Linked DNA regions of Stegostoma tigrinum. The main gene of each other region encodes a partner of the protein of the gene in region 3 in a complex. Links are inferred from orthologs where the notes say so. Each region holds a gene or a part of one and is shown on either strand. Other genes may lie near its edges. The genes, in order: ncaph, ncapg, smc2 and ncaph2.

Region 1 (7,300 bases), on a different chromosome or scaffold from region 3:
GCAAAATAGAGAGCCTTGGTCTTTATTATATAGAACATAACAGCACAGTATAGGCCCTTTGGCCCTCGATGTTGTGCCGACCTGTCATACCGATCTGAAGCCCATCTAACCTACACTATTCCATATGCTTATCCAATGACGACTTAAATGTACCTAAAGTTGGCGAATCTACTACCGTTGCAGGCAAAGCGTTCCATTCCCTTACTACTCTGAGTAAAGAAACCACCTCTGACATCTGTCCTATATCTTTCACCCCTCAATTTAAAGCTATGCCCCCTTGTGCTCGCCATCACAATACTAGGAAAAAGGCTCTCCCTATCCACCCTTGACAGTCGTTGTATATGTGGTAATAACTAACTGAATCTTCTTTGGACTGCCTTCAATGCCAGTATATCTTTCTTGAGCTAAGGGACACAAAACTGTGTTCCAGCTGTGGTCTGACTCATGCCTTGCATATATAAGCACAATCTTGCTACCTTTATACTCTATTCCTTTTGCAGTAAAGAACACCAACATTCCATTTAACCATCCTGCCTGATCATATCTAAATCTGCCTGATGGATGCATTTCTAACTGCTCTGGTGTTACTGCCTCTATAATAGCCTCTAACATTTTCTCAATAACCTATAAATTTAACTGGCCTCAAGTTTTTTTTTGCCTCCATTTCTTCTTAAATAATGGCATTACGTTGGCAGTTTTCTAATTCTTTGAGACTTTTCCAGAATCAAAGGATTCTTAGAAGATTACTCCCCACACATCCACTATCTCTGTAGCTTCTTCCTTCAGTACCCAATGACACATTCCAGCAGGTCTATATTTGACGCAACGGTACAAGAAGCACGTGTCCATTCCAATTTTCAACAAATTTGACATTGTAAAGAAAAAACTGAGTCTGTTATGAATTCAGAACAACTGTCAACATCCACTTACATTTTCAGAACATAGTTTGATGCAGGTAGAATAGTGTTCAGATATCTGATTATTTGACAGTTTGGGTTCAAAGGATTGTGGGGTCCCCCTGCAACAATCAATGACAATCAGAATCAATTATTTTGAAGGTCAAAAGCAACTTGTCCACAGCTCAGCATTCAAACAAACCCAGAGTCAAGAATTCTGACACATCACACCAACAAAAGTAGCAACCTGTAATGTTAATTAGGAAGGCCTTTGGACAATACTCAGGGTTCAGAAGCAGCACAGAAGAAAAGCAGAAGCAGAGTTCACTCTGGAGCAATGATACACAAATACATGCTAAGTGACATGAGAATGAAACAGTGCAATGAAACCTACCTTTGCACTGGGGATACCAAAGGGCTCTCTGTGCCACTTAGTTGCAAGTCTGTCACTTTTGAGCGCCTTCTCTCTCTCCTTTCACGTTCATCATCATTTGCTGCAACATCCATTTTTACAGAGGACTTTAGAGTCTGAACAGCCTGTCGCTTCGTAGCTGGAGAAATAAACTTGTGGTCAGAAGACCCCACTTGAGAAACTGAGATCAAAGAATCCATTTTGCCCTGTGACAAACAAATACAACAAAAGACCATTCAAGCAAAAGAGCAATAAAAAGCTGTAGTCATGGAATCAATAGTTTCCACTTTTCCCCACATCTGTCTGACCTGTTCAAGACTTCATGATCTGTCTTGGGAAACCACGATCTGGCCTTCTCCTCCAAAATTCCAGTGTGCTTACGTAGATGGTTGAGCCATGAAAGCACATTTACCATTATTTCTCCTTCTAATGTATATTTAAATGGCTTTTAACATACCAACCTGACTCCTTCACATAGGAGTTCTGAGTAAGGGTCACCGGACACAAAACGTTAACTCTGATTTTTCCTTCACAGACGCTGCCAGACTTGCTGAGCTTTTCCAGTAACTTTGTTTTTGTTCCTGTTTTACAGCATCTGCAGATCTTCGGTTTGCTTTACAGCCATTCATGTCACCTTCAGCGTGCCTCATCCAGCCAAATAAACCACTTTAATCTCTTCACTCAAGTTTCACGCTCAGCTACTATGTGACCATCGAATCCCCACGGTGTGGGCACCGGCCCTTCGGCCCAAAAAGTCCACAGAGACCGCTGATCATCCCACCCAGACTCATTCCCCCTATTACCCACCTAATCGACGTATCCTTGAACACTGCAGGGATGAAAACCACCTAGCCTACACGTCTTTGGGCTGTAGGAAGAAAGCGGAGTACCCGGGGATAATGTGCAAACTCCACACAGACAGACGCCCGAGGGTGGAATTGAACCCGAGGCCCTGTCAGACAACAGAGAACCACTGAGCCACAGTGCCGCCTTAATTACTGCCATTACGGTGAAGCATTTTTGATCTACTTATCGTCGTCACGATTTTCATTCATCTATTATCTTTCGACAGTCGCAGACGTCTCTGCAACCGGAACCCCTGACGCCAAGCAACGCAGTTGCTAATAGGAACCTTAAGTGAACTGAGACCTGACTACAATGACAGGAATTGCTGGAAAAACTCAGCAGGTCGGACAGCATCTGTCGAAAGAATGTTTACAGTCCAGTGACCCTTCTTCAGAATCTCCAACCGTGTTGAAGGAGGATTACAGGACACCCAACTCTGATTTCTCTCTACGGATGCTGCCAGATCTGTTAAGTTTCTGCAGCAATTTGTGTTTTTGGTTCAACTTTCCCAACATTCGTAGTTCATGGCTTTATTTACGAGAATTTGGTAATTTGCTGCAATCAGGCAGAGCTATTTATCATTTCTTTCGTGGGTCTGTTGATTTGTGTAGGGATTGCCGCAGTATTGAACCAAGAACTTCTCAACGAAAGCAGGAAGGCGTGTCAGCCAGAACTTGGGGACACGGGCCAGCGCGATTGAATTTCCACAATCCCGGTCCAACTCAGCTTGGATTGACCGACCACTCACCCTGTCCGCCGGGTGTCGGTTGAAAACATTCACACCCACTCTGTTCAGATGTTAAAGGATGGCGTACGTGTATGTTTCCGAGAGATTTGGGTTGCGATTGCGGCCTAACTTTTTCCGCCCGCTCTAATGCAATAAGCGAACAATGAAAAAAAAACACAATCTCCAGGCCTCCTCAAATCGTCCTGGCTCGCACTGACCTGAGTGATCGAGATGTCCGAATTTCTTCAACGTCGCTGTATCCGACCCCGCGGTTGGAGAGGGAAGATGACGGCCGGGATCTCGCTCCGTTCTGCCGTTACTTCAATCGGAATTCAAACTTTCCCGCGGCTCGATAGTGCGCACGCGCGGCTCGCTGGGTGTTCCCGGGGATGCGACGCTCCGCGCACGCGCAACACGCCGGGAAAGGGGAGGTTGTCGCTCTGCGCACGCGCAGTGCCTTATGTGTATGCCCTCTTGCAACGAGTGGAGTGAACCGTCAGCCTTTTCGGAAAAACGGATTATCAGCAAAACTGACAGAAATCCGTGGACACACACCGAAGAGTGCCTTTGCCTGAATTTCTCCGATCTTCACAGTGTTCGTCTCATGATCATTCCTGAAAGATGACTGTGAACGAAGAAAGCCGTTCGGCCCCTCTTCAAACGTCACGTCAGACCTCACATTTCCAAGTGCAGTTGTTTCTTCAGTAATTCCAGAGGTTTCTTTGGCTGCGGGGGAAAAAAATCTCCAATGCCGCATCTGAGAATTCCAGGCCTTTTATCAAATACAATGTGAGAAGACTTTCCGGCCTGCAGCAAAAGCGAGAAAGTGATAGATGTGGATTAACCGTGGTTTTATTGACAGGCACAACAGACTTGTGCTTTGAATGCTCCTCAGTTTTTATTTGTCCTTTTATAAATTAGACTCTGGAGGTGACTGATCAATTTGCAACTTTTCTTTGCGCTTACTTCAGTGTATGAATGCTTCTCTCATGCCTCATTGATTGTATTGACCACACTGACAAAACTGGTACAGCACAATGTAATAAAATGTGAGGCTGGATGAACACAGCAGGCCAAGCAGCATCTCAGGAGCACAAAAGCTGACGTTTTGGGCCTAGACCCTTCATCAGAGTCTAGGCCTGAAACGTCAGCTTTTGTGCTCCTGAGATGCTGCTTGGCCTGCTGTGTTCATCCAGCCTCACATTTTATTATCTTGGATTCTCCAGCATCTGCAGTTCCCATTATCTCTGGTACAGCACAATGGTTTGGTCACAGGTTCTTTGACTGGTGTTAAAAACCAAAATAACTTGTGACAAGTTGACACATGGAGATTCATCAAGAAGACTAGAACCCATGGGATCCAGTGCAGTTTGACAAATTGGATTCAAAGGTTGGCTTCATGGCAGGAAGCTGAGGATGATGGTCAAGGCATGTTCTTGTGACTGGGGTGAGTCCAATGAGCAGAACAGTGACAAATGGGAATTGATTTAGAAAACAGTGAGCTGATGCATTTGGGGAAGACTGCTATGCCTCCGAGGTTCACACCATACTGTAGGACCGAAGGACATTCAGAGGCACCTTGTTTCCCTTATCCAAAGATCTTTGAATGCAACATGATAGGTGAACAAGATTGTGAAGAAGTCATATGGCATAATTACATCAAGAGCAAGGAGCTTGTTCTGGAGCTGTATATAACATTACAGAGGCTGCAGCTTGAGGACTGTATGCAGTCCTGTCGCACAGTATATAGGATGCATGTGATTGTTCTCAAGAGTACATTCACCAGGATGTTTGCTGGGTTCCAGTGTTTCAACAATGAAGAGAGACTAGATAGGCTTTACAGATAGTAGGAACTGCCGATGCTGGAGAATCCGACATAACATGGTGTGAGGCTGGATGAACACAGCAGGCCAAGTAGCATCAGAGGAGCAGGAAAGCTTGACATTTCAGGTCGGGACCCTTCTTCAAAAATTTCTGAAAGATCCCGACCTGAAATGTCAAGCTTTCCTGCTCCTCTGATGCTGCTTGGCCTGCTGTGTTCATCCAGCCTCACACCATGTTATCCCAGATAGGCTTAAGTTGCTTCCTTGACGTTTGAGAGGGTTGAGTCACATACTTGATTGAAATCTACAAAATTTGGAGGGACATAGGAAGTAACCTTTGTTTTTAGTAGAGAGGTCAGTAACCAGGAGGCAAAGATTCAAGGCAAGGAGCAGAAGCTATAGAGGGGATTCAAGGAAGAATTTTTTTTCTCACAGTGGGAGGTGGATATCCAGAACTCATTGCCTGAAAGGATGGTAGGAGTGGAAACTGTTGCAACATTGAAGAAGATTTTTGATGAACACTTGAAATGCCTTGGCAGACAAGCTGAGGGGGGAAGTGCTGTAAAATGGGCCTAGAGTAGATAGGTGATCAACATGACACAATGGGCCAAAGGGCCTCTTTCCATTAACTCACCATGACTTGGGGTGCCAGTGTTGGACTAGAGTGGATAAAGTCAGAAGTCACACAACACTAAGTTATAGACCAACAGGTTTATTTGAGATCACAGGCTTACAGGGCGCTGCTCCTTCGTCACGTTCGACTTCACCTGAAACAAGGAGCAGTGCTGAATAAGTTTGTGATTTCAAATTAACCTGTTGGACTATAACCAGATTTTGTGTGAATTCTGCCTTCATTGACTAGGAAACAAGAAAACAGGCCGTCTTAGACTGGGTATAATGTCATGAAAAATGCATACTTGGTCAAGCAGTTGTGAAAGACCTCTTCAGGATGAGCAACCCGTAATGAGCAACCGGGTTTTCTTATCACGACGGAGAGTGAGGTATTTGGTGCTAAGACTCAGGTCCTGAATTTTTAATGAGGGAAACTACAGTGGTAGGAGTTAACTTTGATTGATTGGGAAATGTTACTGCAAGGAGTGACAGAGGATAGACAGTGGCAAACATTCAAAGTGCAAATGGGAAAACAACAAAAACTTGTTTCTGTCTGGCACAAGAGTGCAAAAGAACACTGGCAACACCATGGTTTACAAGGGAAGTTAGAGATAGTATGAGTTGGGGGAAAAAAAAAGAAACATACAAATTGGCAAGAAAAATAAATCTCCTGGAGGATTGGGAATAGTTTAGAAGTTAACAAAGAAGGACCAAGGCATTGATTAAGAGGGGGAAGTAGAGTGAGAGTCAGCTTGTGGAAAACGGAAGAACTGACTGACAACGTTTCTGTAAAGAGAAAAAGATTAGTGAAAACTGATGTAGGTCACTTACAGTCAGAAACAGACGTTATTAAAATGGGGAACAAGAAATAGCTGATAAATTAAATTCACACTTCATTTATGTTGTCATAAAGGAGGACACAAATAATTTGGATTTAGTGAGAAGGAGGAACTAAAGTGAATCCCTATTAGTGGAGAAATAGTTTTGGAGAAATTGATGGAATTGAAGGCTGGTAAATCCTAAGGTCTGAGAATCTCTGTACCAGAGTATTTATGAAAGTAGCCTTCAAAATATCAGATGCATTGGCAGTCATCTTCCAAGATTTTTTTAACTGTGGAATAGTTCTTAGAGGTTGTAGAGTAGCCAATGTAACCCCACCTTTTGATAAGACAGAGGAACGTAACACAAATTTCTGGACCAGCGATTCTGACATTGTCATGGAGAAGGTGCAGAAGTCCATTGACAGTGAATTCATTGCAGAGCACTTGGAAATCACTCAATGTTCTTACTATCAAGGGAATGCAGTGAATATTGGCCAAACTGATTCTTGCAGTGGCAGGACTGACATAGGAGAAGAGATTGTGTTGGTTTGGATTCTATTAACTGGGGTTTGGAAGAATGGTGGGGTGGGGGGAATCTCATAGAAAATTTAAACAGAATTTGACAGATTAGATGCAGGAAGGATGTTGCCATTGGTGAGGGAGTCCAGAATCAGGAGTCATAGTTTAAAGATGAGAGTAAACCATTTTAGGAGTGAAATGAGGAAAATTTCTTTACTTGGAGACTGGTGAGCCTGTGGAATTCACAATGACGTTGAGTGGTTGAGGCCAAAACATTGTATATTTTCAAGGATTTCATGTTGCTCTTGTCCAAAGAAATTAAGGGATGTGGAGAGAAGGAGGGATCAGTCATGATCATATATATGACAGAGCAAGCTCGAGGGGTCAACTGGCCTCCCCCTGCTCCTATCTTCTATATTTCTGGCTTCTAAAACCCAATGACGTTCTATTGCTACTCGTAATGTGTGTGGACCTGTTGTACTTACTTAGAACCCCTACAGTGTGGAAACAGGCCCTTCAGCCCAACAAGTCCACACCCTCTGAGCATCGTGCTCAGACCTATCCCCCTAGAATCCACCTAATCTACACATCCCTGAACACTATGGGCGATTTAGTAAGGCCAATACACTTAGCCTGTACATCTT
Region 2 (7,813 bases), on a different chromosome or scaffold from region 3:
GAGGTGGATAAACACAGCAGGCCAAGCAGCATCTTAGGAGCACAAAAGCTGATGTTTCAGGCCGAGAATCATCATCAGAAAAGGGAGATGGGGAGAAGGTTCTGAAATAAATAGGGAGAAAGGGGGAGGCGGATCGAAGATGGATAGAGAAGATAGGTGGAGAGCAGACAGACAAGTTAAAGGGTCGAGGATGGAGCCTGTAGAGGTGTGTGTAGGTGGGGAGGGGATAGGTCAGTCCAGGGAGGACGTACAGGTCAAGCAGTCAAGGGGGCGGGATGACGTTAGTAGGTAGAAAATGGAGGTGCAGCTTGAGGTGGGAGGAAGGGATACGAGAGAGGAAGAACAGGTTAGGGAGGCAGGGATGAGCTGGGCTGGTTTTGGGATGCAATGGAGGGAGGGGAGATTTTGAAGCTTGTAAAATCCACTTGATACCATTGGGCCTCAGGGTTCCCAAGCGGAATATGAGTTGCTGTTCCTGCACCCTTTGGGTGGCATCGTTGTGGCACTGCAGGAGGCCCAGGATGGACATGTCATCTAAGGAATGGGAGGGGGCGTTGAAATGGTTCACGATTGGTAGGTGCAGTTGTTTATTGCCAACCGAGCGTAGATGTTCTGCAAAGCGGTCCCCAAGCCTCTACTTGGTTTCCCCGATGCAGAGGGAGCCACAACAGGTACAGCAGATGCAGTATACCACATTGGCAGATGTGCAGGTGAACTCTGCTTGATGTGGGAAGTCTTCTTGGGGCCTGGGATGGGGGTAAGGGAGGAGGTGTCGGGACAAATGTAGCAGTTCCTGTGGTTTCAGGGGAAAGTGCCAGGTGTGGAGGAGGTCGAGGGGAGTGTGGAGCGGACAAGGAAGTCACGGAGAGAATGGTCCCTCCAGAAAGCAGACAAGGGTGGGGAGGGAAAAATGTCTTTGGTGGTGGGGTCGGGTTGTAGATGGCGGAAGTGTCGGAGGATGATGCATTCACCTGTGCATCTGCCAATGTGGTATACTGCATCCGCTGTACCGGTTGTGGCCTCCTCTACGTCGCGGAAACCAAGCGGAGGCTTGGGGACTGTTTTGCAGAGCATCTACACTCGGTTCACAATAAACAGCCCAGTCGCGAACGATTTCAATGCCCTCTCCCATTCCTTAGACAACTTGTCCACCCTGGGCCTCCTGCAGTGCCACAACGATGCCTCCCAAAGGGTGCAGGAACAGCAACTCATATTCTGCTTGGGAACCTTGCAGCCCAATAGTATCAATGTGGATTTCACAAGCTTCAAAATCTCCCCTCCCTCCACTGCATCCCAAAACCAGTCCAGCTTGTTCCCACCTCCCTAACCTGTTCTTCCTCTCACCTACCTCTCCTGCCACCTCAAGCCACACCTCCATTTCCTACCTACTAACCTCATCCCACTCCCTAGACCTGTCTGTCCTCCCCAGACTGACATACCCACTCCCCACTGACACTCACCTCTACAGGCTCCACCCCACCCCTTTAACTTGTCTGTCTGCTCTCCACCTATTTTCTCCTCTATCCATCTTCGATCCGCACCCCCCCTCCCTATTTATTTCAGAACACTCTCCCCATCTCCCTTTTCTGATGAAGGCTAGGCCCGAAACGTCAGCTTTTGTGCTCCTAAGATGCTGCTTGGCCTGCTGTGTTCATCCAGATCCACACTTTGTTATCGCGGATTCTCCAGCATCTGCAGTTCCCATTATCTCTGATACAATTTCTGGTAAGGAAATTTGATATACTGCAGTCTTGTCTAAATACTATGCAATTCACTGTACCTGATTGTATATTTGTTTAAGACCTGCCACCAACTTTGCAAGATTTTGATGTCCTTTCTGGGCCTTTTCAAAGGCTTGTTGTATTTGGAGCATTTGATTTTTTTGTGTACCCATTTATATGGAAAAAAATCTGAAACAGACAATATAAATTTAATGAATCATAAATTACTGTCCAACAGGATCTTTCAAAGCAGTTATAATTCCAACGGTTAAAAAGTTTTGTTCAGTTGTGAATATGAAGAATCATAGAATCCCTACAGCACGGAAGCTGGTTATTCTGTCCATCGAGTCCACACCGACTCTCCGAAGGGGATCCCATTTGGACCTGTCCCATCCTACCCCATTGTTGTAACTCTGCATTTCCCTTGCTTATTCTACCTCACCTACATATCCCCCAGACACTATGGGCAATTTAGCATGGCTATTTCGCTTAACCTGGACATCATTGGACTGTGGGAGGAAACCCACACAGACACAGGGAGAATCTGCAAACTCCACACAAAACCCAGGTCCCTGGAGCTGTGACACAGCAGTGCTAACCACTGAGCCACCATGCCGCTCCACGGGACAAATGTCCCCACCAGTCCTGTGTGAGATAAGCATTGAGGATTTGTGCAATTTAGAAAAAGTATTAACTAGGAGCAACTTTGAATCAAACAGCAGATCTTCCAACTACTAGTGAAGTGACAACGTATGGCATCAGATTGGAATGGACGGCCCAACAGTTGGAGATGTCCTAGTCAGTGTTGCTACTGTGAAGATAGGCTTGCTCCAAGTTTTCAAAGCATCACTGTGATGAGTCACGAAGGCAGGGATGTGAGTCATAAATTCCTATAAGATCTTCAGTGATCCTCCTCACTGAAGCCAGACAGAAAACACAAGACCTAGGACTAAAAATATCCTGCCTAATCTTTGACACTGATGATCACTCATCCCACCACCCAACCCTGTCGGAACTACATCTGCCCAATCGCCCCCAACCCCACCTCAGACTCACCTTCGGTTCCCCATTCCCGCCTGCCCACACCTCCCCGCCACCGACAGCCCTCACCCCCCTCCCCATCCCATCAACTACTCCCCAGCCTCAGCCTTCCCCGATAATCCCCGCCCCCGCGGTCTCACCTCTCTAGCTGTCTATGATTCTCTCGAGTCCGCTCTGCCACAAAGCAGCCCCCTTTTTGTTTACCCGCTCTCAGCGCGAACCGCCAACAACAACCGCCAGAAATTTCAAACTGCCTCTCGCGAGATGGTGATCTAAGCGCAGGCACCGCAGGGGGCGGGCCTGGCGGGTCTCCCGATGCCGGGGCGTGGCTATGAGGGGGGTGTGGCTATGAACGGGCGGGCTTAGTGGGGATATTTATCCTTCCAGCGTCTGCCGTAGTTCAATGTGATTGTGGCTCGATCCATGGTCTAATTTGGGATGTCTGTTGCTGTTTATTCGGAGACACTTCCAAATGGAGACAACTCCTAGCCAGTTAACATATTTAGATCACTATGAATGTACTGTTTCCCTCAATCGGAAAAGATTAAAGTCATTTTACTCAATGAAGTTTTGAGCAATGCTTAACAAAATTGAGGACTTAGACAAGAAAACAAAAGCACAACTCACTATTTATTCATCAGTAGTTATTAATGAGCACCAAGAAAGTGTAGTTTTTATTTTCACAAGTAGCTACACAATTTTTTTAATAGAGATATCAGCCATGTTTATGGATATAATGGAATTTTTGGTCGATTAGAAAAAAACGAATCTGCTACTATGGATTGCATACGGATCGATGTTCCCATCACCATCTTGTTTTTATATGTTAGCCATGGAGAAGCTGGTACCACTCTACCCATAAGGTTCTGGCTTCAGCACAAAAATGAAGGCTGACAGTCTAGTGCAGCACTGAAGGAGCACTTCAGTGTTGGAGGCACCATCTTCCAGATGAAATCTTAACTCAAGGTCCCATCTTCCCGCATGTACAGTAAAGGGTCCCATGGCATTATTTCAAAGAAAAGCAGAAGAACTATCTGTGGAGTTCTGGCCCTCATTTAAGCACCAACCAACATCACAAAGAGAAGTTCAGCACAAACTGGAAGAGCAAAGTTTCATTTTCTTCTCATTCCCTTTGGCCCAACAAGTTCACACTGACCCTCAGAGACCACCCAGACCCATCCCTGTACAACCCACCTGATCTACACATCCCTGAACACGATGGGAAATTTAGCATGGCCAATCCACCTAGCCTGCACATCTTTAGACTGTGGGAGAAAACCAGAGCACCTGGAGGAAACCATGCACCATGGGGAAAATGTGCAAACTCCACACACAGTTGCCCAAGCATGGAATTGAACCTGGGTCCCTGGTACTGTGAGGCAGCTGTGCTAACCACCAAGCCACCATGCCGCCCCCCTTCCGTGCTTGATATAAAAATGTTCAATAATTTTAGGGCCTGAACACCTACTTCCGTGTTCTTCACTGAACTCCCCAAAATAGCAGGCTTTATTAACACATGGGCTGCTGCCACAACCAACCCATTGTCAGCTATTAATAGTCCCATTAGCAGCCAAGGATTCTCCCAGGCTGGCCATTTGCCCATTCCTTTTTCTGCCCAATTGCTATTCTCTCTCTCTCTGGACTCCATCTCCATCTATCATTTCTTCCTATCCCCATTCCACCTTCCACTTTTATGCCAACCTTTTCCTAACTTCAATCAGTTCTGAAGCAGGGTTACTGGATCCAAAACATTAACTCTGCTTTTTCTCCACAGATGTCAGATCTTCTGAGTTCCTCCAGCATTTTCTGTTTTTGTCACAAAAAGAAGACTAGCTGGTTATTATCACATTACTGTTTGTGAATTCATTATGTGTAACCTGGCTGCTATATTTACTACATTATAGCAGCAACTATAATTCAAAATAATTCAGATTTTGACATGTCAATGGACATGAAGTGCTAAAATAATTGAAAGTCTTTTTTTCCCTTTTGTCCATGCAGCCAATGTTACCATATCCCCTACAAACTCTAATGCACTTCTCACTGATTATTTCCCAGCTAATTTTGGATCATTTGCAAATTAGAATGTTATAAAATCAGCCCATCATCTTAAGTTATTAATATAGACTGTGAACAGCTAAGTTTCAAATACAGATCCTTGCATTTCACAACTGGTTATAGCCTGTCAGCTCAAAAATATCTTGTTTATTCATATCTTGTTTGCAACAGCAGTAGACTCGCCAAGTTTAAGGGCATTTATATGGTCATTGGATAAACATTCCACACCCTCACTACTCCCTGAGTAAAGAACCCAACTCTGACATCTATCCTATGTCTATCACCGCTCAACTTAAAGCTATGTCCCCTTGTGCTAGCCATCCGAGGAAAAAGGCTCTCACTATCCACCCTATCTAATCCTCTGATCATCTTGTATGTCTCTATTAGGTCACCTCTTAACCTTCTTCTCTCTAACGAAAAATGCCTCAAGTCCCTCAGCATTTCCTCATAAGACCTTCCCTCCATACCAGGCAACATCCTGGTAAATCTCCTCTGCACCCTTTCCAATGCTTCCACATCCTTCCTATAAAGCGGCGACCAGAACAGTACGCAATACTCCAAGTGTGGCCACATCAGAATTTTGTACAGCTGCAACATGACCTCTTGACTCCGAAACTCAATCCCGCTACCAAAAAAACCTAACACACCGTATGCCTTCTTAACAACCCTACCCTATCAACCTGGGTGGACCCTTTCAGGGATCTATGCACAGGGACACAGAGATCTCTCTGCTCATCCACACTACCAAGCGTCTTATCATTAGCCCAGTACTCTGTATTCCTGTTACTCCTTCCAAAGTGAATTACCTCACACCTTTCCGCATTAAACTCCATTTGCCACCTCTCAGCCCAGTTCTGCAGCTTAGCTATGTCGCTCTGTAACCTGCAACATCCTTCCGCACTATCCACAACTCCACCGACTTTAATTTCATCCACAAATTTACTAACCCATCCTTCTACGCCCTCTGACAAATAGCAGTGGCCCCAAAACAGATCCTAGCGGTACACCACTAGTAACTGAACTCCAGGAGGAACATTTCCTATCAACCACCACCGTTTGCCTTCTTACAGCTTGCCAATTTCTGATCCAAACTGCTAAATCACCCTCAATCCCATGCCTCCATATTTTCTGCAATAGCCTACCATGGGGAACATTATCAAATGCTTTACTGAAATCCATATACACCACATCAACTGCTTTACCCTCATCCACCTGTTTGGTCGCCTTCTCAAAGAACCCAATAAGGTTTAGACCATAAGACATAGGAGTGGAAGTAAGGCCATTCGGACCATCAAGTCCACTCCACCATTTAAATCATGGCTGATGGGCATTTCAACTCCACTTCCCTGCACTCTCCCCGTAGACCTTGATTCCTTCTGAGATCAAGAATTTGTCAATCTCTGCCTTGAAGGCATCCAACGTACCGGACTCCACCGCACTCCATGACAATGAATTCCACAAGCCCACCACTCTGTGGCTGAAGAAATGTCTCCTCATTTCCATTTCAAATTTACCCCCACTAATTTTAAGGCTGTGCCCACGGGTCCTAGTCTCCCCGCCTAACGGAAACAACTTCCTAGCGTCCACCCCTTCTAAACCATACATTATCTTGTAAGTTTCTATTAGATCTCCCCTCAACCTTCTAAACTCTAATGAGTACAATCCCAGGATCCTTAGCTGTTCATCATACGTTAAACCTACCATTTCAGGGATCATCCATGTGAATCTCCGCTGAACACGCTCCAGGACTAGTATGTCCTTCCTGAGGTGTGGGGCCCAAAATTGGACACTGTATTCTAAATGGAGCCTAGCTAGAGCTTTATAAAGCCTCAGTAGCACATCACTGCTTTTATATCAGAGGTAATAGGAACTGCTGATGCTGGAGAATCCAAGACAACAAAGTGTGAAGCTGGATGAACACAGCAGGCCAAGCAGCATCTCAGGAGCACAACAGCTGATGTTTCGGGCCTAGATCCTTCATCAGAGAGGGGGATGGAATCTGGGTTCTGGAATAAATAGGGAGCGAGGGGGAGGCGGACCGAAGATGGAGAGAAAAGAAGATAGGTGGAGAGGAGAGTATAGGTGGGGAGGTAGGGAGGGGATAGGTCAGTCCAGGGAAGACGGACAGATCAAGGAGGTGGGATGAGGTTAGTAGGTAGGAAATGGAGATGTGGCTTGGGGTGGGAGGAAGGGATGGGTGAGAGGAAGAACAGGTTAGGCAGGCAGAGACAGGCTGGGCTGGTTTTGGGATGCGGTGGGGGAAGGGGAGATTTGGTTTTATATTCCAACCCTCTTGAGCAAACAACATTACATTCGCTTTCTTAATTACGGACTCTACCTGCAAGTTAACCTTTAGAGAATCCTGGACCAACACTCCCAGATCCCTTTGTACTTCCGCTTTGCAAATTTTCTCACCATTTAGAAAATAGTCCATGCCTGTATTCCTTTTTCCAAAGTGCAAAACCTCACATTTACTCAAATTGAATTTCATCAGCCATTTCCTGGACCACTCTCCTAAACTATCTAAATCTTTCTGCAGCTTCCCCACCTCCTCAGTATGACCTGCCTGTCCATCTATCTTTGTATCATCGGCAAACTTCACCAGAATGCCGCCAGAGCCTTCTTCCAGATCATTAATATATAAGGTGAACAGCTGTGGCCCCAACACTTAACCCTGCAGGACACGACTCGTCACTGGTTGCCATTCTGAAAAAGAGCCTTTTATCCCAATTTCTGATCCAAACTGCTAAATCACCCTCAATCCCATGCCTCCGTATTTTCTGCAATAGCCTACCATGGGGAACCTTATCAAACGCTTTACTGAGACACGACCTACCCTTCACAAAAACATGTTAACTACCCCAATCAAATTATTGCTTTTTATATTATTATAAATCCTATCTCTTTTAATCCTCTCCAACACTTTACTCACAACCGAAGTAAGGCTCACTGGTCTACAATTACCAGGGTTGTCTCTACTGCCCTTTTTGTTT
Region 3 (7,214 bases):
GTGTGCAGAGAGCATCAGCTCTGATTCCACAACCGAGGAAGAACAAACTATTATCCTATATGACACTATATGACCTTAACTTGTGCCATATTTGCTTCACCCGCTGAGAATCAATCCCAGTTTGCAGGGGTGAGAATACAAAATGGACCAGTATCCAGTTCAAAAGGCATAAGACAGAAGAGTCAGGAAGAGACTCTTCTGAAGAAGTTTTCATTGTTAACATTGTGGAATATTAAATACGATAGAAATGTTGCAGAGTACCTGTCTCGAGACAGTAATTTCATCATGAGTCTCAAAGCCCAGAGGACTTTGTTTTTTGTCAGAGTTATCAAAGGTAATTGAGACAGTGGCTTTTGTAATCCCTGCTTGCCCATTTTTGTAGACCAAATCCTGCAGGTTGCTGGCTCGCACCTAACAGCAGACAACAAAACAAGGTTGCAATGAAAATTAGCATTAAAATACTCCAAAACCCAAAATGTCTGAAGCATTATATTGATTTCCAATTAAATAGTAGCCTAATATCAATAGTAAAAAGAACATTGGAATCTCAAAGATAATTGGGCTTAGAAAATACTATTAGGATTCTGAGTTAACATGGATTTATGAAAAGGAAATCTTTTTGACAAACTAGTTAAGATTTTATCGAGGATGTAATTCGCAGAATAGACAGAGTGTATTTGGATCTTCAGAAGGCTGTTAATAAGGTGCCATTAAGGAGGTTAGGAATCCAAATGAGATCACATCAGTTTGAAGGAATATACCGGCAAAGATTGAGGAATGATTGACATACAGAACACGGAACAAAATCAAACTGATCATTTTCTGGTTGCGGGAGGTGACTAGTACTACCACGATCAGTGCATGGGTCCCAGATTTCATAGTCTACATCAATAATTCGATGGACACTGAAATTTGCTGTTGACACAAACTAGATGGGAATATAAATGGGAAGGGGATGCAGAGATTTAGACAAGCTGAGTGGACAAGGTCACCACAGATGGAACATCATGTGGGAAAATGTTGTTACTTCACATTTAATTTTTCTACCAAAGTGAATATTTCTTAAATGGTTTCTTAATATTTCTTAAAGATCACTCCAGTCCTTCCTTCCCCCGCTCTCAGCAACAATATACTACTCTCCTCTGATATAGATGTGAATGTACAAGGTGCGGTTAGTAAGTTTGCAGATTACATCAAAATTTTAAATGTATGGACAACAAAGATGGTTACCTCAGAGTACAACAGGATCTTGATTAGATGAGCTACTGGGCCAAGGAGTGGCAGACAGAGTTTAATTTAGGTAAACATGAAATACTGCATTTTGGAAAAGCAAATTGGGGGTAGTATTTATACACTTAAATGGTACAGTCCTGGGCAGCGTTACTGAACAAAGATGCCTTGGAGTGCAGGTTCATAGTTCCTTGAAAGTGGAGTCCCAGGTGGATAGAATAGTGAAGAAGGTGTTTGATATCCTGTTTTTTATTGGTCAGAGCATTGGGTAAGAGAGTTGCGGCTGTACAAGACATTGGTTAGGCCACTTTTGCAATACTGGTATCCCTGATGTAGGAAAGAAGTTGTGAAACTTGAAAGGGTTCAGAAAAGATTTACAAGGATGGTACCATGGTTGCAGTTATTGGGAAAGGCAGAATAGGGTGAGACTATTTTCCCTGAAACATTGGAGGATGATGGGTGATCTTATAGAGGTTTTTAAAAAAAGGAACATGAATAGGGTGTATAGTCAAGGTGTTTTCCCTAGGTAGTTGAGTCCAAAACTAAAGGGCATAGATTTAAAGTGAGAGGGGCAAGATTTAAAATAGACCTCAGGGATAACTTTTTGCACACAGAGGGTGATGAATGTATGCAATGAGCTTCCAGTGGAGGTGGAAGAGGCTGGTACAATTACAACATTTAGAAGGCACAAAAACAGAAGCTGCTGTAAAAGCTCAGCAGGTCTGGCAGCATCTGTGAAGGGAAATCAGAGCTAACGTTTCGAGACCGGTGACCCTTCCTCAGAACTGCCCATTTCTGATTTCTCTTCACAGATGCTGATCTCTTCCAGCAACTTCTATTTTTGTTTCTCATTTACGGCATCCGCAGTTTCCATTTAAAAGGCAGCTGAATGAATAGAAAGTGTTTTCGGAGGGAGACGGGCCAAATGCTGACAAATGGGACTAAATTAATGCGGACGAGTTAGACCGAAGGATGTTTCTGTGTTGTATATCTCCATGACCCACTTCCATCCCCCTCCCCAAAGCAACCTCCTTTGTCCCCTTCCTTCGCACAACTTTACACCATCACCACTATTTCACTTCCTCAACTCAATCTTCCAACACCATCACCCCCTTCCCTTCCTCCTCTGAACCCCCATTTTTTAAAAATCTTTTCTCTCACCACCTAAAGTCCCTTGGGCCGCACTGAACCCTTCACATCCTACACCTTCTCCGATCGCCCCCTTCTCCTCCTAACTTGCGATCCCCATCTTCCCCCCACTTCCCTGTCGAACCTGGGACAAGTTACTGATGCCGAGGAGGAAGCAGATGGAGTCTAAGATGTTGGACTTGCCGCTGCCGTTTAGGCCGGTAATAGCATTAAAGAGCGGATCGAAGCCGTTAATCTCCGTCCGTTGCGCGTAAGACTTGAAGCCGTCGATGATGATGGATTTTATATACATTTTCCTTCACCGTGTTAAATTAAACTAAATCCGGAATTTCACTGCAACTCGGAGAGCTCCGGTTGCCTCCCAGCAGTTTAAATTTTGGCGCCAATCCCTGACCGTTAGTTCAATGGCCTCAGTTGGTTCAGTGGCGCTTTCACCTCAGTACCGCCATGCAATTTTAAGACAGAAAACGCAGCAGCTCAAGATTAATGTAATTATTGCGGCGGATTCCTGGCGTTTGGAGAATAATTAACGATTTGTGGAAAATTGACGATTTAGAGACGGCAGGCGCCTTTCGATGACGTTCCTGCCATGCGGGGCAGAACCCTGCGGTTTCTCTTAAAGGGGCCACGTCTTCACGCCCTAAATCACGTGGTCCCACCCGCGGGTGACAGAGGCCTTTGAAATGTCATCCCCCTCCAAACGTGAGACCCTCACTCGGTAAGGCCCCAGACCCGTAAAGTGGCCTCCTTAGCAGCACGCCGAGGTGAAGTCGATGCGTTCCAGCGAGTGTTCAAACCTCCCCCTCAAACATTTCTGTCTGCCCGACCCATCAAGTAAAACCTGTCCCGAGTGTGGTAAACTCTGCAGATTGGTTAGACTTAACAACCATTTCGCAACCCATTGGACTCAGATGAAAGAAGTGGCGTTCAGTCATGATCTTATTGAACGGCAGAACAAGTTTGAATGGCCTGCTGAGTCCTAAGTTCCACTGAACCATCAAAACATTACGGCACAGAAGGAGACCATTCAGCCCCTTGTGTCTCTGCTGAAAAAAAAACTAGCTACCCATGATCATGCCACTTTCCAGTACCTGATCCAGAACCTTGCAGGTTACACCACTTCAGGTGAATATCCAGGTACCTTGGTTCCTTTAAGGTATAACATTGAACCAGGCCATTCAGCCCAATGTCTGTGATCTGCTGCTTGTATATAAGTAATAATAGAGCATTCAGCTCCAGTAACGACATTTCGGGAAGTATGTGAGGGTGCAGAGCAGGTTTGCAAGAATGATTCCAGGAATAAGGGAATTTAGCGAGTATGTCAGATCGGAAGAACATCTGTTGTTCTACTTCAAGCAAAGGGCATCAAGGGGAGATTTGAGATCAGAGATAATAGGAACTGCAGATGTTGGAGAATCCAAGATAACAAAGTGTGGGGCTGGATGAACACAGCAGGCCAAGCAGCATCTTAGGAGCACAAAAGCTGAGATTTGACAGGTTGAAGATAAAGCAAATCTCACATCTGCGAATGATATAAGGGCATACCATTTTAAGGCTTTAGGCAAAAAATATCCACGGGGATGTGAGAAAGAATGTTTGCTTTTAACACAATTATTGAGTAGTCTTGAATCCCTGCTCCCAAGGGTGCTGGAAGTTGTCATGGTCATTGGGGGATATAAACTTTGCAAAGCTGCACAGACTCATTGGGCTGAATGCCTGTTTTGCTGTAATGACTCTATGAGCCTCCTCCCTCTCATCTTTATCTTCACCTTGTCAATATATCCTTATAATCTTCTTGCCTTAATGTCTATCTGGTGTCGCCTTAAACTCTTATTAATCACTTCAACATTGAAATAATAATGTGAGCCTCTTCTGACATTTAATGGGATAATGGCTGATCTATCCTCAATTCCTTTAACCCATCTCTTCCACATATAATAATATTATTGGCTAAAAAAGCATATCATCACCAAATTTAAAGTGAATAATTTGCTGTTTGTGGAAGAATTCCATACAGCCATATCGGGTCAAGTAACCAAATGCACCGAGAAAAAAGATTGGCTTTAAGGAATATATAAAAGGGGTAAAACTATTGCTTGATATTTATGGACCCTCCTCCTCTTGGATGTGATAGGACTGCAGAGCTTAGGTCTGATCCTTTGGTTGTGGGATCGCTTAGCTCTGTCTATCACTTGCTGCTTATGCTGTTTGACATGCAAGTTATCCTGTTTGATGGCTTCACAGGTTGACACCTCATCTTCAACTATGCCTGGTGCTGCTCTTGGCATACCTTCTTGCACTCTTCTTTGAATCAGGGTTGATCTTTTTGATTGTAATGGTTGAGTGGGGATATGTTAGGCCATGAGGTGACAGATTGTGCTGGTGTACAATTCTGCCGCTGTTGTTGGCCAGCAGCGCCACGTGGATGCCCAATCTTGAGTTGCTGGATCTGTGTGAAGTCTGTCCTATTTATCATGGTGATAGTGCTACACAATGTGATGGAGGTTATTCTCAATGTGAAGGTGGGACTTCATCTGCACAAGGACTGTGTGATGGCCACTCTTACTGATACTGTCATGGATAGATCAGCTGCAGCTGGCAGGTTGGTAAGGATGAGGTCATGTATGTTTTTTTCTCTCATTGATTTCCTCACTGCCTGCCACAGACCCAATCTAATAGCTATGTCCATTAGGACCTGACTAGCTCAATCAGTAGTACTGCTGCTCTTGGTGGTGGACATTGAAATCCCCCAATCACAGTACATTTTGTGCCTTTGCCATCGTCAGTGCTTCCTCCAACTGCTGTTCAACATGGAGGCGGTACCGATTCATCAGCTGAGGGAGGACAGTATGTGGTAATCAGCAGGAGGCCTTGCCCATGTTTGACCTGAAGCTATAAGACTTCATGGGGTCCAGAGTCAATGTTGAGGACTCCAAAAGCAACTCCCTCTCGACTGCATACCTCTGTGCTGCCACCTCTGCTGGGTCTGTCCTGCCAGTGAGACAGGATGTATCCAGGGATGTTGATGGTGGTGTCTGGGACATTGTCTGTAATGTATGCTTCTGTGAGTATAACTATGTCATGCTGTTGCTTAACTAGTCTGTGAGACAGCTCTCCCAATTTTGGCACTAGCCCCCAGATGTTAGCAAGGAGGACTTTGCAGGATCGTTAGGGCTGTTTCTGCCTTTGTCTGTTCCAATGCCTAGGTCAATGCCAGGTGATCTGTCCAGTTTCATTTCTTTGAGACTTTGTCATGATTGGTACAACTGAATGGCTTGCTAGACCATTTCAGAGGGCAGTTGAGAGTCAACCATATTGCTGTGGGTCTGGAGCCAGACCAGGTAAGGACGTTAGATTTCCTTCCCTGATAGGTTTTTCCGACAATTGACAATGTTTTCATGGTGATCAGTAGATGCTTAATTCCAGTTTATGTTTATTATATTCAAATTCCACCATATGCCATGGTGAGATTTGAACCCGGGTCCCTAGAACATTAGCTGGGTTCCTGGATTAACAGTCTAGTGATAATACCACTAGGCCATCGCCTACCCCTGTGATATTTTACGCTGTAGCATAATGTACTTCAACAAAGATTGATATAGCAAATAATGCCATTCTTTCGGGAGGGAAAAGACTACAGATAAATTGAAGTTATGTTCTAGAAATAACATTCTCAAAATGATTAAGCCAATATATCCTACCAGACCTTAACTGGGATGTTCATAGTACCATGAGGGAATCTTTGCGTGCAAAATATATGGCACAATATCTAGTGGGAATTTTCTTTTTATCTTTATTGTCACATTTTGGGATTCCCATCTGTTGTAGCTGGTACAAGGATTCTTAACTTCAGGCACAAGTGGTTTTGTTAGGGATTGAAAGCCAAATATTTCACAAAAGTGGAAATTGTCAGTATCCATTCTAAATGAAAATTGGTCTGGATTTTATAGAATAAAATGAGCCAGCTATTAAAAAGTTATGATAGTAAGGCAAACAAATAGGTTGTTAAATAATCCCAGTTTAAGTTCCGAGCTGTTCTGTTGAAATAATTGGGACCAGCTGAGATGCTGGCCTTTATTTCAAGTGGTCCAAAACATAAATGACTGAAAATTGAAATACGGTGTTGGAAGTCATAGTCAATACAGTGTGGAGCTGGAAGAACACAGCAGGTCACGCAGCATCAGGTGAACATGAAAGTTTTGGATCTGGACCCTTCATCAGGACTGGGGAAAGGGAGCTCAGAAATAGATAAAGGCAGGTGGGCTGGTGTTAGGTGAATGCAGGTAGGGGATGTAGAGTTTGGTCAATTGGAAGGGTGGAGCGGATCGGTGAGAAGTAAGAAGAACAGGTTGTGTCAAGTCAAGGACGCAGGAATGAGAGGGAGGGCTGGACATGGGATGAAGCCAGGGGTGGGGAGACTTTTGAAGCTCATGACTTCTATGTTGAAGCCATTGGATTGTAAATTCCCAAGGTGGAATATAAGGTGTTCTTCCTCCAATGCTCCTGTGGCCTCATTGTGATACTGGAGGAGGCCCAGAATGGACATGCTGCCAAGGGAGTGGGAAGGGGAGCTAAATTACATAAAACACTGGTTAGTTAAACTGCAATTACGCAGCACCTTTATTTTTAAAAAATCTTGGGTTGACTCAAAACATTTACAACTAATCAAGTATTTTGAAGTGTAGTGCTCTTGTAATGTGGGAAAGATTAGCCAACATGTTCACAGCAACGTCCTGTTAAAAACACCAAAATGACCAGAACTCGGTAAACTTAGTGTGAAGCTCGAGGAACACAGAAGGTCACGCAAATGTCAGCTACTGGCACCTGTTCTGAAG
Region 4 (8,204 bases), on a different chromosome or scaffold from region 3:
AAAATCTGTAATAATGTCATAAGGTTGGGGGTATATAATTACTAGAATATGACAATTCATTTCACAGAAGAATCTCTAACTGTATAAAACAGAAATTTCCTTTTTGTTTGCTATTCTCACAAAGTGAAAAAATACAATTTTCATCGTATGACAAAATCAACTAACAGGGCTGACAATGGTCATATCAAACATTAAAATGTAATGAAGAGGATTCCTTCCGACAGGAATTTAGATAGGTACCTGACAGGAAGGTGCTTATAAAAGCACAAACTATAAGATACGCAGGATTAGAACTCAAATAGGTCCATCTAGCGCAGTCAATTGTGTTGGTGTTTATCCTCTACATGAACAGCACTTTCATCTCCAATCATGGTTTCAGACGGAAACTCTGAAATCTAGGGATGCTTCATAAACTATTGCTATTTCCTTCCTTGGTGAATCGTGAAGACAGACTCCAGATAGTTGGTGGTAGTCGAGCAGTATCCAGGTATGGGTTCAAAACTCTGTCACATATGTTTAGAGTCAGAACACTTAGTCCCAACTTCCGTTATTATTGGTTCCTGGAGGCTTGGTATAAACAGTAAACTGAATGTGACAGCCACTGGCTCAGACATCATGGCTAACTGTGTCTCAGTAAGTGTCAGGATGGAAGTTATTTGCCCCTCACATTTAGGGTCTTTAGGTCACAGGCTCGGAGACAAGATCACAAACCACAAGCAAAATAACAAGTCATAATCTTCTTATTTTCTAGACTTCAGCCTCCTTGAATTCAAAAGAAAGTCTACCTCCACAATTAAAAAGCTAAATACAAATTCCTTGTCCTTTTTTGTCATGTTCATGTGGATGAACTGATATCATCCATTAGCAGACTTTTGAACAGACCTTTTATGTATTAAACTTGTTCTTTCTCTGCAACTTTTCTAAGCCTGTAACACTATATTCGTATTCTGTTCTAGCATTTGAATGTACTTTATGTAGGATATGATTTGCCTGTCTCACACACAAAACAATATATTTCACTGTATGTCATATGTGACAATAATAAATCAAATCAAATCAAATCCCACAACATCAGCAACAGACTGTAAACAATCTGTTTGCAAAACCTTTAAAAGAATTTTTAAACATCTCTTTAATTGGGCAAGATGTTCATTTAAAAGGAATACATAATCAAAGCATATAGGGAACAAAGCAAAAAGCCACTAATCATCGAACCAAGAAATCATTACTACAGAAAGAGCAACAAAAACATGGGTTGGAGGAAGAGGAGGCATGATTGGGAAAGAAGGGTTAAAAATAATGTTGTTATTTCAAAGCTTTAAAACACATCACACACTGTTTCATCTAGTCAACACTACCTCAGGCAGAGATCCTAACAGAAAAAATGAGAAATAATACATGGGGAAAACGCAGCTCGGTTCCAACCCTATTCCTGGAGTACAATAGTCAGTAATTTGCTACCAATGTCTGAGGCCATGAAATTACGGTTTATACAGCAAACAAAAAGTCTATTGGGAATTACTTTAATCACTTAAATAAGTCCTCATTATTGAGGCAATAGTGTCTCATCCAAGTACATTACTCAGATAATGATAATACAATAACAATTAAGGTTACACAACAGAATTAAATAAACTGATTATTGTGACATCAGTTTTTCTGACGTCCTGAATTCTGACCTTGAAGAGCTGTTCCACAGACATTCATATTAAGAGCAGGAGTAGGTGATTCAGCACCCTGTACCTGCTCCTATCTACCCCTACACCATTTGATTAATGGAGTCATACGGCTCTGAAACAGACCCTTCGGTCCTACTAGTCTGTGCTACCTAGACACCCTAATCTGGCCTGGACCCGTTTGTCAGCATTTAACCCATAACCCTCCAAACCATGCATTCACCCAATCAAATCCCTTTTAAATGTTGCAATTGTACACACCTCCACCACTTTCTCTAACAGCTTGTTGCATACACACTTTGCGTGAAGTGGTCACCCCTCAGATCCTTTTTAAAAATCAATGCTCTTTCAGCTTAAAACCTATGTCGTCTGGATTTGGACTCCCCCACCCTTGGAAAAAGACTTTGGCTATTCACCTAACTGGACCTCTAATGATTTGACAAACCTCTAAGAGGTTACCCCTCAGCCTTCAGTACTCCACCCTATTCAGCCTCTCCCTATAACTCAAACCTTACAGCCCAAGCGACATCCTTTTAAAAGAAGAGATAATGGGAACTGCAGATGCTGGAGAATCCAAGATAACAGAGTGTGAAGCTGGATGAACACAGCTGGCCAAGCAACATCTCAGGAGCACAGCCAAAACGTCAGCTTTTGTGCTCCTGAGATGCTGCTTGGCCTGCTGTGTTCATCCAGCTTCACACTTTGCTATCTCTGACATCCTTTTAAAACATCACTTTCTTTTCAGTCAAGAATATATTTAACACACCCTTAAAAATGTTCAATGACCATGCCTCCACTGCTCTTACAAATTAATGGCCTGCTCAGGAAAATAATTCTCATCAATCTCCATTTTAAATGGGAAACCTCTCACTTTAAAATTGTTTCCTAGTCCGAATCTCTCTCGTCCTGCCACCATTCATCCTGCCCATTGCCTTCAGTACCTTACATATTTTAACAATATACGCTCTAATTCTTCTGAACTCCAAGGTACACGAGCCCTACCTGCCCATATTTTCCTCATTTCAGAAATCAATCGATTCAACCTTCTCTGCGCTTCCAATACGATTACATTATTTCTTCAGGTGACCAAACTGTCTACGACACCTGGTTTCACCAAGGGCCGAACAACTATAATGACATTTCCCAACGTTTGCGCACCAAAGCCCTTTGCAATAAATAACAATGGTCCATTCCAATATATTTCACACGTTTTATTTTTCTGTTACATCATATTATTAAAGACAAGTTGATTTCTGTTGCCGCCAAGAAGTAAACCAGTAACTGCAGTAAACAGAAGTGGTTCAATCAGACACTGTAGGGAAGAAATTAGTAAATGATTGAAGTGGGCCGTTCTTCAAAACCAGAACACAAGAAACTGTAACGAACAAGAATACAATCACAGAAATCTGAAAGAAACTATATTTAACAAAAGGAGATTCGAACTGACACTGACAAGCCGAGACTCACCCCCCACCGAAGAACCGTATCTAGCTACGTTCCACATTTCTCAAGCACGATTATTATAAATCCAGTTCTCAAAATATTCCCCTATTTTCTCTGAATATTCCCTTCTTTTCTCTGATTGTTTTATTTTACCCGTTTTTAGGCCAGCGCCATTTTTTGTTTTTCCCGCGCAGGTACAAACCACAGAATGCGCATGCGCGCGACACGGACTCAATCATTAGTCTACTAGTAAGAGGCAAGAAAACAGAGTTTGAAAGAATTTCCATCACAATAAAACCAGATCGCTAAATTTTTAACGCGGGTTTAAATTTTAATTTGAAATTATTACTTTGTTTTGTTTTTTTTTCAGATGTTTAGAGATGATCTCCCCTTCTGCCATGATGGTACAGGCTGCAAATGCAGAAAGACGGTAACGATTAAGAGCAATCCATTCCGGGAACAGGGAATAGTAACTTTAGAAACTTCTTAAAGTAAAAAAAAACACCGTGGATAATCTGGTTATATATTTCAAAATGTGGTTATTATTTCAAAGCGCGACTCAGTCTGAGTTATATTGTGAGCTATTATAATGGAATCGTTATGGATCGAAGCTGTTGACCACCTCCCCCCCCCCCTTTGCGGTGATGAGAGTGGTTATGTCCAGGCCTGCAGCTCGGAATGGGGGAGATTGTGTTGTCGCGGGCAGCTTTCCTCTGGGGCACGAATGCTATTTACTTGTGTGCATTCACCTCGCTTTATGTACAGATCCCAGGTAATAGTGATGACACTGATATTCTGGGTTTTAAAAGCTCTGCCTCGGTGAAGAGTGTAGTCAGTTGGCGGGAGTTGGGTAAAGGAGCCTCATGGAGAAGGGAGAGGTGTGGTTAATGGAAGGAAACCGACTGAAGTGGAACACATCGTTTATTTCCAAAACAGCACCGTGTGAGTTAGCGTTGGCTGGCAGTTTGGAAAGAGTTGTTGCTGTTAATGTTGACAGAGTGCATTTTTGTGTTTATGAAGTGGTGCAGTTTAGACTTTGATCTGGGGACTCTGGTGTAGCAGAGCCACTCTATAGTTAACGGCAACACACTGCAGATGCTGTAAAGCTAAAACAAACACAGAATGCTGGAGAAACTCAGCAGATCTGGCAGCGTGTGGGGGGAGAGAGAGGGAGTTTGAAGTAACGTTTCGAGTTTGGTGCGAGTTTGCTTCAGATTGCATGGTTATTTTGGTGCGAGACTTGAATTGTGTGCTATGTATGGAGGGAATAATGTTTAGGAAATGACCATTGCAGTCAGTTCATTGAAACCATTCCATACTGTGAACCCTCCCCTATTGAGGTTCAAGAAGGCAGCTCAGCATCATTCCTAGTTACCCTGAAGATGATGGGCAATAAATGCTAGTCCGAACAGAAAAGCCACCACCCCATGACTTTTATTAAAGAAGAAACCTGCTAGGCGTTTTATTTCCATGTTTCTGAACATCGTGAGTGCTCTCTCTCTCTCTCTCCATCACATTTCTTTCCAGGGAAGCTTAAGCTTCCCAAGTAAAGACAAAGTGCTGAAGAAAACCAGGTGTGGCAGTACCTTGCAGAGAGTAATACAAAAACGTTGAGTCCAATGAGAGTCATGTTGGACAAGCAACATATTCTCTCTCATGGGATAACGAGGTGTACGGCTAGATGAACACAGCAGGCCAAGCATCTTCTATCTCTATCACTTCTGTCTGTAATTTTTTAACGCGTGTGCGTGTGTGGATTTGAAGTTTTCATTTGAATGCACAGTTTTTCCTGAATCATCTACCAGTGAGAACAACAGGCCAGCAGTCAGAATGTTGTGCTTCACCTGCAAGGGTGAAATTCTGAATCGTAGGATCAGTTGAACTCCATTCTGATAAGATGGCAGCTGTGATTGGAAGAGAGCTGTTTGCCAGTATGGGACTGTGATTGGGCTGTTTAGCTGAGGCTGTGTGCCGTTCCCATTAAGATGATGTCAGAAGGACTTTCAAAACATAACTATTGCAGATCCTAAAAGTAACATTTTTCTTTTTTCACATTGTCCACTCCCTTTCCTTGAATTTTTTGTCACTGGCCAATTTCAGGTGTGATAAAGGCTTTTAACATGGATATACAGCCAGGAAATTATATTGAAATCAGCAAGTCAGATGGTGAAACTCCTCAATATTTGTGGAAAGAGAAACGTTTGGAGTACAGTATTTTTTTTACAGCACAGTGTGGGCCGAAGGGCCTGTAATATTGTGCTGAACTTTTACCCTAATCCTAAGCTCTATCTAACTTGCACCCCTACCTTACACTATCATCCATATGCCCATCTAATAGCCACTTAAATGCCCCTAATGAGACCGACTCCACTACCCTGTCTGGCAATGCATTCTACTCCACTCACTTTGAAACTATGCCCCCTTGTAACAGCTACCTGCACCCTAGGAAAAAGTCTCTGGTTGTCCACTTTATCTATGCCTCTGATCATTTTGTATACCTCTATCAAGTCACCTCTCATCCGTCGTCGTTCTAAAGAGGAAAGCCCTGGCTCTCTCGGCCTTTTCTCCTAAGACCTTCCCTCCATTCCAGGCAACAACCTGGTAAATCTTCTCAGCACTTTTTCCAACGCTTCTGCATCTTTCCTGTACTGAGGCAACCAGAACTGGACGTAATATGCCAGATGTGGCCGAACCAAGCTTTTGTATAGCTGGACCATAACTTTGCAGCTCTTGAACTCGATCCCTCTCTTAATGAAAGCTAACACACCATATGCCTTCTTAACAACTGTATCCACCTGGGTCGCAGCTTTCAGGGAACTGCCAGCGTGAACCCCAAGATTCCTCTGCTCCTCCACACTACCAAGAATCTTTCCATTAACCCTTTTATTCTGCTTTCAAGTTTGTCCTTCCAAAAGAATCACCTCACACTTTTAAGGGTTAAACTCCATCTGCCACTTCTCAGCCTATCTCTGCATCCTATCAATGTCCCTTTGTAATCTTTGATTTGAAAATATTTACTCTGTTCCTGCAATGATGCTGCTGGATCTGCTCAGTTTCTCCAGCACTTTGTTTTTATTTCAGATTTCCTGCATCTTTAATATTTTGCTTTTACTTGAGATTGCATTGAACTTGCATAGTTTGGCCTCAGTTGGATTACTGTGACAGTTTCTGGTGTCACAGTTTAGAAAGAATGAGGTTGGTTAGCTCAGTTGGCTGGACAGCTGGCTTACAGTGCAGAGTGACCCCAGTAGCGTGGGTTCATTTGCACACAAGCAAGGTTAACATGAAGGCCCCAACTTGTCAACCTCTCTCATTGCCTGAGACATGTTGATCTTCAGGTTAAATTCGTTACCAGTCTTGTCTCTATCATGAGAGAGCAGTCCTGTGGTCCTCCAGGACAATGGCAGTTTAACTTTTCAGGAAGGATGTGAAGGCATTGTAGAGGGCTGAGACTTACAAGGTTAGTTCTAGGGAAATTAATTTTAGTCGTAAAGATACATTGAAGAAGTTGGGGCTCCTTCCTTTGGCCAAGAGAAGGATGAGAGGAGGTCTGATAAAGGCACTCAAAATTTAGATGTGTCTGAATAGAATTGATAGGAAGAAACTGTTTCTCCTGAAATGACCAAGAAATAAAAGGTATAGATTGAAGTAATTGTTCAGCCAAGAAAATTACGAGGAAAAGCTTTTGCACATAGTACAGTGTTAGGGCCTGGAATGGACTGGAGAGTGGTGGAGGAAGTTTGAAACAAGATATTCAAAAAGTGAGTTTTATTATTTTGCAAAGGAATGATGTGCAGGAGGTTTACACAGAACACTGGGAAATGTCACTAGGTAATATGATTGTTCAGAAACCATGCACATACACGAAATGACATTCTTCAGTGATCTTATCCTGAGACCAATGTTTCTACAGTTATTAACTTCACTGAATTTTTTTTGAGGAAGTAGCACAGCTGATTGATTTTGGATGCTTTTGACAAGCTTCTAATGCAAAGTAGCCACAAAAGTAAAAGTTGTGAGATGTGCTTTGGCAAAGACTGGAAACAGCTACTCAAGGATGAACCAGTGTCAGAACAATGAGAGGCATACATGAAGGAGACAGAATATTTGGCATAAATGTACTCCTGTAGAGATAAGGTTTAGGAGTTCCAAATACAGGCTTCCCTCAATGTGAAACAGCATGCAACAGCTAAGAACCAGTAACGCAGTAACTGAGGGATATGTAGAAAGGGCAGGAGCAAACCTAGACAGGACATTTGAAAAGCAAAATGAGAGAATCATCAAAGCTAGTTTGTCAATACATATAGTTTCACTGAAACACTTTTTTCCCAGAAATACATAAAGGCTATACAGATAGCCAAAAGTGTAGGGCCGTATAGAGACTAGAAAGGTATAATGTGTGTAGAGGCCAAAATCAAGGGTATGGTTCTTAATTAATAACTTGCATTCGCCTCCACAAAATAAAGGAAGTGATTTCATAGTTACAGAATATAAAATATTGAACAGAATAAACATAGAGAGGAAACTTTAAGAGCAGTGGAATCTTTGAAAGTCAGTAAATAACTGGGTCTGAATTATGTACATTATAGGCTGCTGGGAGAAGCAATTGAGAAAGTTAAGGTGGATCTGACTGCAATAATTCCAGTCTTTTTGGTTACAAATATAGGGCTGTCAAGGTTCTACCTTGTTTAAACAGGGAGAAAAGGATTGATCAAGTACTTACAGACAGCCCATCCTAAACCCAATGCAATTTATTAGGGAAAGTTTTGAGGCACGATATAAATTGTCATTTAACGGCACATTTATTTAAGACAGCAGAAATGTGTTTAGGAAAGGATAAGTCTATTTAACTTTGCTGAATTTTTTTTGAGAAAGTGGCACAACTGATTAATTTTGGGAAGGCTTTTGACAAGTTTTAATGCAAAGTAGCCTCGAAAGTAAAAACCATGAGATTCAAAATTGCCTTTGGGCAGGAAACAAAAGACAATGATCCATGTTTTTTTGTGACTGGAAAGGTTTTTCCAGCTATGTTCCATAGGTCTCAGTGTTAAATTGCTCGTTTTTTGTGTTATAAATCACTGATTT

Evidence for each region.
Region 1: smc2 (region 3) and ncaph share a complex: the UniProt entries of both Homo sapiens proteins name them as parts of the condensin complex. The link is inferred for Stegostoma tigrinum from reciprocal best matches to the Homo sapiens genes SMC2 and NCAPH.
Region 2: smc2 (region 3) and ncapg share a complex: the UniProt entries of both Homo sapiens proteins name them as parts of the condensin complex. The link is inferred for Stegostoma tigrinum from reciprocal best matches to the Homo sapiens genes SMC2 and NCAPG.
Region 4: the proteins of smc2 (region 3) and ncaph2 are in contact, whole or in part, in a cryo-EM structure (PDB 9F5W), measured with the Homo sapiens proteins. The link is inferred for Stegostoma tigrinum from reciprocal best matches to the Homo sapiens genes SMC2 and NCAPH2. Residues at the interface, in NP_001036015.1 of Homo sapiens: Leu93, Thr125, Gln128, Asp129, Cys132, Gly135, Leu136, Asn137, Met173, Tyr174, Lys177, Lys178; in NP_689512.2 of Homo sapiens: Glu46, Phe53, Ile54, Glu55, Leu58, Leu59, Gly62, Ser63, Ala64, Cys65, Val66, Lys69, Tyr73.

What each region holds. Positions count from the first base shown.
Region 1 is NC_081393.1:10,353,287-10,360,586, forward strand, and holds the start of ncaph (condensin complex subunit 2), read right to left. Parts: upstream 3,220-7,300; 5' UTR 3,100-3,219; intron 1,515-3,099; 5' UTR 1,509-1,514; coding exon 1,291-1,508; intron 1,019-1,290; coding exon 931-1,018; intron 1-930. UniProt on the Homo sapiens protein: Regulatory subunit of the condensin complex, a complex required for conversion of interphase chromatin into mitotic-like condense chromosomes.
Region 2 is NC_081354.1:83,711,859-83,719,671, reverse strand, and holds the start of ncapg (condensin complex subunit 3), read right to left. Parts: upstream 3,016-7,813; 5' UTR 2,903-3,015; intron 1,911-2,902; 5' UTR 1,895-1,910; coding exon 1,781-1,894; intron 1-1,780. UniProt on the Homo sapiens protein: Regulatory subunit of the condensin complex, a complex required for conversion of interphase chromatin into mitotic-like condense chromosomes.
Region 3 is NC_081356.1:31,468,227-31,475,440, forward strand, and holds the start of smc2 (structural maintenance of chromosomes protein 2), read right to left. Parts: upstream 3,029-7,214; 5' UTR 2,672-3,028; coding exon 2,504-2,671; intron 412-2,503; coding exon 262-411; intron 1-261. UniProt on the Homo sapiens protein: Central component of the condensin complex, a complex required for conversion of interphase chromatin into mitotic-like condense chromosomes.
Region 4 is NC_081378.1:21,665,503-21,673,706, forward strand, and holds the start of ncaph2 (condensin-2 complex subunit H2), read right to left. Parts: upstream 3,309-8,204; 5' UTR 3,144-3,308; intron 2,699-3,143; exon of another isoform or gene 2,679-2,698; intron 2,566-2,678; exon of another isoform or gene 2,548-2,565; intron 1-2,547. Other genes in the region: lmf2a (lipase maturation factor 2a), read left to right, coding at 3,798-3,891. UniProt on the Homo sapiens protein: Regulatory subunit of the condensin-2 complex, a complex that seems to provide chromosomes with an additional level of organization and rigidity and in establishing mitotic chromosome architecture.